Nothobranchius furzeri: one gene and its partner. The protein of the gene in region 2 purifies or fractionates together with the protein of the main gene of each other region. This does not show direct contact. Links are inferred from orthologs where the notes say so. Each region holds a gene or a part of one and is shown on either strand. Other genes may lie near its edges.

What was found. The genes of interacting proteins can lie anywhere in the genome.
Region 1: the proteins of itsn1 (region 2) and eps15 purify together in Homo sapiens (co-immunoprecipitation; 3 studies listed by BioGRID and IntAct, with this or other methods). This does not show direct contact. The link is inferred for Nothobranchius furzeri from reciprocal best matches to the Homo sapiens genes ITSN1 and EPS15.

The regions. Positions count from the first base shown.
Region 1 is NC_091748.1:56,887,642-56,891,777, reverse strand, and holds the start of eps15 (epidermal growth factor receptor substrate 15), read left to right. Parts: upstream 1-1,199; 5' UTR 1,200-1,214; coding exon 1,215-1,370; intron 1,371-3,625; coding exon 3,626-3,667; intron 3,668-4,091; coding exon 4,092-4,136. UniProt on the Homo sapiens protein: Involved in cell growth regulation. May be involved in the regulation of mitogenic signals and control of cell proliferation. Involved in the internalization of ligand-inducible receptors of the receptor tyrosine kinase (RTK) type, in particular EGFR.
Region 2 is NC_091752.1:40,932,758-40,936,406, forward strand, and holds part of itsn1 (intersectin-1), read right to left. Parts: coding exon 3,457-3,649; intron 3,375-3,456; coding exon 3,200-3,374; intron 3,114-3,199; coding exon 3,027-3,113; intron 2,949-3,026; coding exon 2,800-2,948; intron 2,716-2,799; coding exon 2,636-2,715; intron 2,559-2,635; coding exon 2,386-2,558; intron 2,307-2,385; coding exon 2,261-2,306; intron 2,115-2,260; coding exon 1,993-2,114; intron 1,849-1,992; coding exon 1,725-1,848; intron 326-1,724; coding exon 131-325; intron 1-130. UniProt on the Homo sapiens protein: Adapter protein that provides a link between the endocytic membrane traffic and the actin assembly machinery. Acts as a guanine nucleotide exchange factor (GEF) for CDC42, and thereby stimulates actin nucleation mediated by WASL and the ARP2/3 complex.

The sequences.
Region 1 (4,136 bases), on a different chromosome or scaffold from region 2:
TCATGGGAGACCCTACCAGGGGCACTAAGTGCCCCAGACAACATAGCTCCTAGGATCATTAGGGCACTCAAACTCCTCCACCACAATAAGGTGACGGTTCAAGGAGGAGGTGTGCGAAATTTGTTCTCCGCAATTGACCCTGGGGGAGCGGTGAGCTGCAGACACAGCTGTGCTCAGGAACCATTTGGTGGCTTAACCCCCCAGTCCAACCCCTTAATGCTGAGTGTCAAGCAGGGAGGCATTGGGTCCCATTTTTTCAAAGTCTTTGGTATGACCCGACCAGGAATTGAACCCTGATCTCCCAGTCTCAGGGCGGTCACTCTACCACTAGGTCACTGAGCTGGTCTGCCAGGCAGCAGTATTTGTTGCCGGAGGGAGACGCGCTGCGTCACTCTCGAGATTTTGAGAAGTCAAGTGGTCACACAGGCGGAGCTGCTGAACGCTTCTTGGAAAGTCGCGTAATAGTCACAACATCACGTTGGACTTGAGAACAGAAATAAGGAAGTGACTCTATTGTTTATACATGATCAGACTTGCTGTCATGTTTTGTGAGACTCAAATTAATTAAAAATGGGTAAGTATGCTATTTATTTAAATTTGAAGTTATCAAAACTGTGGTTGGGTTTGTGCCGTAAAGCCATTCCACGTCGTAATGTCTGTTGTAAAGTACTCCACAATGTTGTAAACAGCTGCGCCGCGGCACTTGAGATAAAACTGGCACCTGTCTTCAGTGCCTAGGTGCAGCACAGCGCTTCTGGGACGCCGCGCGGCGTTCCCTGTGTACCCACTCTCATTAACTATAATGGCTTTTATTTAAAACGACGGCGCGGGTGCGGTGCGTCTGCCTTCAGTGTGCCCCAGGCTTAAGAGTCTGGTAGGAGTGACTTGCTCTTTAAATTGGAATGTCCAACCCTTTCAAGAGCAAAATAATCAACTGAATTTTTTTTAATAATGCTGCAGTTATTTTATGTTTTTATATGGTTCAAAACACCAAAAATATACACATTAATAAAAATGTTTGATCATGAAAATCTCAAAGTTTCTATCTACATCACCAGACTGCAGGAGAGACAAAATCCCACCATTCTAGAAATTCAATAATGAGGCCAAACAGTCTATGGGCCAAACAAAATCACTCCGAGGGCCACTAAGGGCCCCCGGGCCTCCTTTTGGGTGTGCCCGTATATTATGTCGATGGGCGTGCCCAGGGTTAAATGACTGGCCTGCTGTTAGTGGGTGTGATTGGACGACTCTGTATTTCGGGTCCGGTTCCAGGTTTTTCAGCGGCCTCTGTCTGTGTCTGGCAGCAGCGCAGCCTGAAAGCAGTGGGAAACAGAAACACTATGGCTGCCACTTTGTCTCTTACTCAGGTAACAGTGTCTTACAACTCAAATATAACGACAACGAACGCCGCGGGCTTCTGTCCGCGTTACTTGCGCCCAACTCAGTGGTGCTGGCCGGACTGGGCGGGCGGAAACGAGTGCTCTCCTCGACCGTCGTCGGTGTTGGGGAAGTTTTAGCCCTGCTGCGAAAAGTTTCTGTCTAATCTCTTTGGGGACTGCGTAAGGGCGTAGCTAGCCAGCTAGCCTGCCTGCTAACAGCTAGTTTATGTCCAGTGTGGGGCTGTTAGTGGGGCTTCTTTGTCAAACTTGACGTTTAGCTAACGTGACTTGGCTTTGGTTAGCAGTCTTTAAAACAACATTGCGCACCCTCTGTTAGCCGCAGGCCAGCCGGTCTTTGCTAAGAAGATGATAACCATGTGTGGCTCTCTGTTGTGGCTCTGCTGTCATATTTTAGTTGGTTAACGTTCGCTCCAAGTTTTAGTTATGTTGTGTTGCATCTTCTGCTTTCGTGTGCTTTATAAGCTACGTTGCTACTCCCATGGCTGTCTGCATGGTTACACTTGATATGGCTATAAATAGAATGAAACGTGCTTCGGTTGATGTGTTTTTATTCCTTTGACATTTTTGAAGTGGACAGACTTTATTATGTTCAATTATTTAATGTAAACGTTGAGTTAATTTTTAGTAGTGCAGCTTTAAATAATGTAAACTGTCGTTCTGAAACCAGTAAGAGGAAGTTAACTATGGCAGCCACTAGCTCGTTCTGCTGTCAGAAGTAAAAGCCTGTTGCTAGTTGGGTGAAGAACCCAAAGTTGGTGAATTGTAAGTTATTTAGCAGGTAGCGGGCAAGTTTAATTGGTATGGTCACCCGAGCCTCTGTTGCCTCTGTCAACAGAGCAGGAGCAGCGTTGTCTCTGTGTTTTCTCTTCATTGCTGCTGCTTCTTGTCTGATTAGTATCTAATCTGACCTCCATGTTTCTGCTGACACTGTTTACCATTTTATTGCTGTGACAATCAAACATGTTGAAATGTCAAAGAGAAACCAGCCTGTCCTGTTAACAAATGCAACATGATGCATCTTGTTGAATGCCAAAGTTTTGAATGAACTATGCAATAATGGTTATAGTTTTTTTTCACTTTATGGCTTTTTAAAGAGTGCAGTACAATGATGACAGTGTCACAGCCATCGATAGTTCCAGGCACACTACTGTGTTACAATTTCTGTGTGTGTGTGTGTGTGTGTGTGTGTGTGCGCGCGCGCGTCAACAGTTATCTCACTTTAAAATTGGCATTTAGTTGTCCAAAGTAGCTGACAGACAACTGCTGATGACAGGCTATGTTTTTTTTCTTATGTGCCAGAGTTGGTTACATAATTTACTCCTAAGCTGATGTTGCTGTTTTCTTCTTCATCTTCATATTGGTTTGGAGATGGAAGGAAAGCTTTTAAGACTGCTCCTCAGCACATCCACTTACCAGATAATTGCTGTCCACTCCTTTTCTCTATTTCATGGAAGCTACCATTTAGCATTTTTAGTTTAAAAACAGGGAAATGCTGATTTGTTTCCTGTTTAGCTCAGATGAGAAGAGGAAAGAAGGGATATTACATCAGAAAAGCAAATTACTCTCGAGTGTTAACATCTTGTGGCTTAGTTTGAACACAAATCACAGGCTTCCAGAAGGTATCGTCATGGTAATTCAGCTCAGAGCTTTAGTATCAGTTAGCCTTGCTTTGCAGTTTCATCACCAGAAAATAATGATTAACTTTGCTTTGTATAAAAAACACAAAGATATGTTTGTCATTTAATTTTTGCATGAATAAAGACTCACCTCTTAGAACCTGTAACAGTGAAAATCTAATTATTCAACAATCAAGAATCCCAGTAGTGGCATCACTTGTTCTTCACAAAAGTGGCATTACTTCAACGTGTCTTTGGTTTTACTGATTAATTATGATCAGTTCTGGGATAAGCTAACATTTTGTGGCATATTTTAGGCTTTATAATATTTTAAATTTAAAGGTTAAATCTACTGGTGCATGTACTCTAGTGGCTCTGTGGCTTTTTAAACTCTGTGGTTAACGTTTTCAGTTTTTGATCTTCTGACTGATTTTCTCTAGCTGCCAGATTATATTTTATTCAAATTTGTAAACTAAAAAGATTTCTTAGAGAAATACAGACATTTTAGGTTTTTGTAACTGACACTTTAAAATTTTGTTTTGGACTCTATGAAACGCATCAAATGAGGTTTGCAAAATTTACAAACATGCTTTTATTTGTTTTCAGCTTTCCAGTGGAAATCCCATCTATGACAAACATTATCGACAGGTAATGGAAACGACCACTCCTCTTCCCTTTGTTAAATTATATTATAAGCATGAATATTTATTATAGCAATTTAAATATCAGTAGTTTTTTTAACCAATGTCATTCAGTTGTGTCAAATTCAAACAGACTAACACAGAACAACCGTTTTTATCTGTTGCTTTTGTGAATTTAAAATTGAAATTAGCTGTAGAGCTTTCACTGGTGAGTTCTCTCTTCTGCCTTTTCTTTTCCAGCCTATGAATTAATAATGTTTCCCTTTGACAACCATTCAGGGAAGCTCCCTCTGGGCTTTCTAATGGAGTGCTGAGCTAATACTACAGAGATTATAATAGTTCTGGTTAAAGTGAGACACAGGCTCTTTATTCAGAACCTGTGCATCCGAGCGTCATGCACATTAAACATGCTGCTGTGGGCGTGCATGCAGGTGGATCCCACTGGCAGCGGGCGGGTAGCGGCAGCTGATGCGGCT
Region 2 (3,649 bases):
GTGTGTGTGTGTGTGTGTGTGTGTGTGTGTGTATTTCAGTGTGTACATTGTATGTTAATTTTAGGACGCTCTGTGTGTGTGTCAGTGTGAGACGCACTCTGCAGGGAAGGCTGTGTGTGCTTGTACTCACACTGTGTGCTCGGATCAGTGTCTGTGGTCAGCTTGACGTAGTTGCTAGGAAACAGGCCCTCTCTCCCATTCAGCTCTCCTTTCCACCAATCACAGTCATCCTTGTTGAGCACTGTGATCACCTGACCCTTCTGGAAGGCCAGCTCGTCGTCGTTCTGGGCCACGTAGTCGTACATGCCGATCACCTGACACAGACCTTCAGGACAGGAAACAGGGATGATTAAAGCTGGATTGTTTACATTTATTCATGCAGCAGAAGCTTTGATCCAAATGACCTAAATTCATAGTTCTCCTGTGAGAATACACCGGAGTACCGAAGAAAACCCACATGCAAGGGGACAACATGCTAGCTGCAAACCGAAAGGATTCTTTCTTGGTCCTTAATGTAAAGCTGTAACTGTGACTGGCTCTTGCTGCTGCCACTGGGGGCAGGCTCAGAAATCAGAGCTCTTGGTTGTGGCTTTGTAGAAAGCTGCTTTGACAAAGTTTTATGAATAATGAACAGTACAGCTAATGAATCTTTAAGCTGTGCTTCTTGTCTATCACAAACTCCCTTTACCTTCTTTGGGAGACAGAAAATTAAATCTGGTATATATATATATACACACACACACACACACACACACACACACACACACACACACCAGATTTATATATATAGACATGCACGTTTCCAGAATGTCTAACTGACTATTGATGCTCTTAATGGTTAATAGTCAGTTAACCGTAAACGGCATGTAGGTGAGGTCTGGCTGAACCGTGAGTGAGAGGGAGTGCCTGTTGTTGATCTGACTGTGAATGCTCATGACATTTCATTTGCTGTCATGCTCAACTGCTACTAAATTACAGGTGAAGGGCACGAAAAGCAATTAACTGGACAAAGCTGTTATGTTGGGACAGCAGTAGCTCAGGAGGTAGAGCGGGTTGTCCAGTAATCGGGAGGTTGCAGGTTCAATCCCTGCTCTGGCCAGGCTCCATCATGTCCTTGGGCGAGACACTTAACCACCTTGCCTGCTGGTGGTGGTCAAAGGGGTCGGTGGCACCAGTGTTCAGCAGGCCTCGCCTCTGTCAGCGCGCTCCAGGACAGCCGTGGCTAAGCGTAGCTCATAATCATCAGTGTGTGACTGATTGTGTTGTAAAGTGCCTTGGGGGGTCGTACAACCCTAAGAAGGTGCTATACAAATACAGGCCATTTATATACACACAGTTATAACTGTTATGACCTCTGTGGCAGTTTCAGAGACGTGCCAGCCAGGACAGTCCCACAGCCGACAGATACCTGGAATAGAGCTCATCCAGAGATGACGTTTGACCACTTTAGCAACATCTGCCTCACAGACGGATCCATCCCAGGTCTCCCAGGTTTGGGTTGTTATGGTTAAGGAGCTCCAAAATGTATAACTCTCTCTTCCTTACCACCTTACAGCAGAAGTCTGTATCTTGCTTCCTCCTACCAACACTCATGAACTACACGTCAAGACTCTGCTTGAGGAAAAGACTCCACCCCGCTCCAGGGGACCTATTCCATCTTTTTCCTGAACCATAGCCCCAAATCTAAAACGGCACACAAACATGTGTTCTGGAGTAGTGTGTACCTGTGCTGGCAGGAGCCAGTTTGGGAGGAGTTGGTTCTGTTGGTGTGGTTTTGCTGGTGCTTGGACTCAGAAGCTTCACATAATTGGCTGGAAACCAACCAATCTGGCGCTTTTTCCCTCGAGCCTGGATCAGTGAAGTGACCACATATCAGACACTAATCCACAAACCTCATAAAAACAACAAAAACCTGTTCCATTCAAACCCAGTTTCTTATAGGGAGGTAAATAACCAAGTCAGACTTGACGCATGTGAACATGACTTGAGTACCTGGAGCTCGCCCTCCCACCAGCCCCCGGGGTTCTTTTTCCTGATGAGGATGAGCTGTCCTGGAGCTAGCGTCAGCTGCTCTGCTCCTGTTGCCGTGTAGGCTGCAATCACCTGAGCGATCTCTGAAAAAGAGAAGCGGGTTTGTTTTCCTGCTTTGGAGCTTTAACTACAAAAGTTATTTCCAACAGAATGCAAGGTAGATTCAGAGAAAATGAATTTACATCATTAGAGAAAAGTAAAAGGAACTCTTCAGGCTGTAAGCACTGACCTGGTTTCTTCCCCAGACTGCCGGTCTTCCCTGCGGGTCCCAGTGACTTCAGATAAGGATGTAGAGAGATTACAAACATTTCTTTCAAATGATCTGGAAACTAACTAATCAAAGTGAGCTCTCACTTCTATTGATGAATCGCGTGGCTTAACATAGTTGGACGGAAAGACTCCAGTCTTTCCTCCGACCGTGCCTGTCCACCAGTCTCCTTCCTTCCTGGTCACCATGACGATGTCTCCTTGCTGGAAGCTCAGGTCTCCCTGTTCTGTGCTCTCATAGGTGTACATGGCCACATATTCTGTAGGAAAAGAAAAGTAAAGTGTAAATAATAGATGCGTTATATTTGTGATGTACTGAAATGTTTCCATGAGGTACCTTCTCCGGTGTCGGAGGATTTTGTCGGAGAAGATGAGGGGCGTTTTCCATTGGGTGGGCTTTCTGACATTCCAGATTCACTAAGAGATGTGAGACATACGTAAATTCAAACTTTTGTGACTTTCATGGGATAAATATGGCGAGAGCGGAGGTTTCGACCCTACCTTGTGTTTTTATTTCGAGCTACAGTGCTGGGGGGAACGGTCACGTTGGCCGAGATGAGTTTGACGTAACTTTTGGGGAACCAGCCTCGTTGTCCATTCTGAAGTTCTCCCAACCACCACATGTCCTGCTGCTCCAACACTGTTATTATCTGCATCAACATTAACATCCACGCCATCAGGCAAATGTACAGTTTCCTGTTATCGTGTGGCAGTGATGAGGGTTCTACCTCGTTTTTGTTGAAGTTAAGGTGGTTGTCCTTCTTTGCTCTCCAGGGGTACAAAGCCTGAGCCTGGAGCCCTTCCACCTTCTCTCCCTGACAGACAGATATCGCAGCTCATGGTCATCTGTGACTCGTGTGATCAATGACTTTATCAATATCTGAGACAATGTTTCCACTACCTGTCCTAGTACAGGAGAGGGGGAGGAGCCTGTTGTCATAGTTGCAGGTGTGAAGGCGGAGCGTTGTCGTAGCTGTGCAGATGGAACACTGAGAGATGGATTCTGATTGGCTGAAGAAGTTGGCCAAGCGTCCCACCCTTCACTGTCTGATTGGCTTGTTGTGTTTGAGGGCCATCTGGAAACATTTACACAGAAAAATCTTCATTCTCATCCAAAAAGTTTTTAAGTCAGATCATGTTGTCGTGTGGGGGAATTACGTGGTGCTGAAGTCTGCCCAGTTACTGTTGCCAGATGATGTGGATGAGGAGGTGTGTCCAGGAGCCGGAGGGGGCGTGGTCATGGGCTGCGGGGCTGAAGTGGGTGTGGTTGAGGAAGTGGAGCGGAGGCTGATTGGGGCTTCGCTGTCGGGTATACGCTCTGCATAATTAGCTGGAAACCAACCGGTCCTGC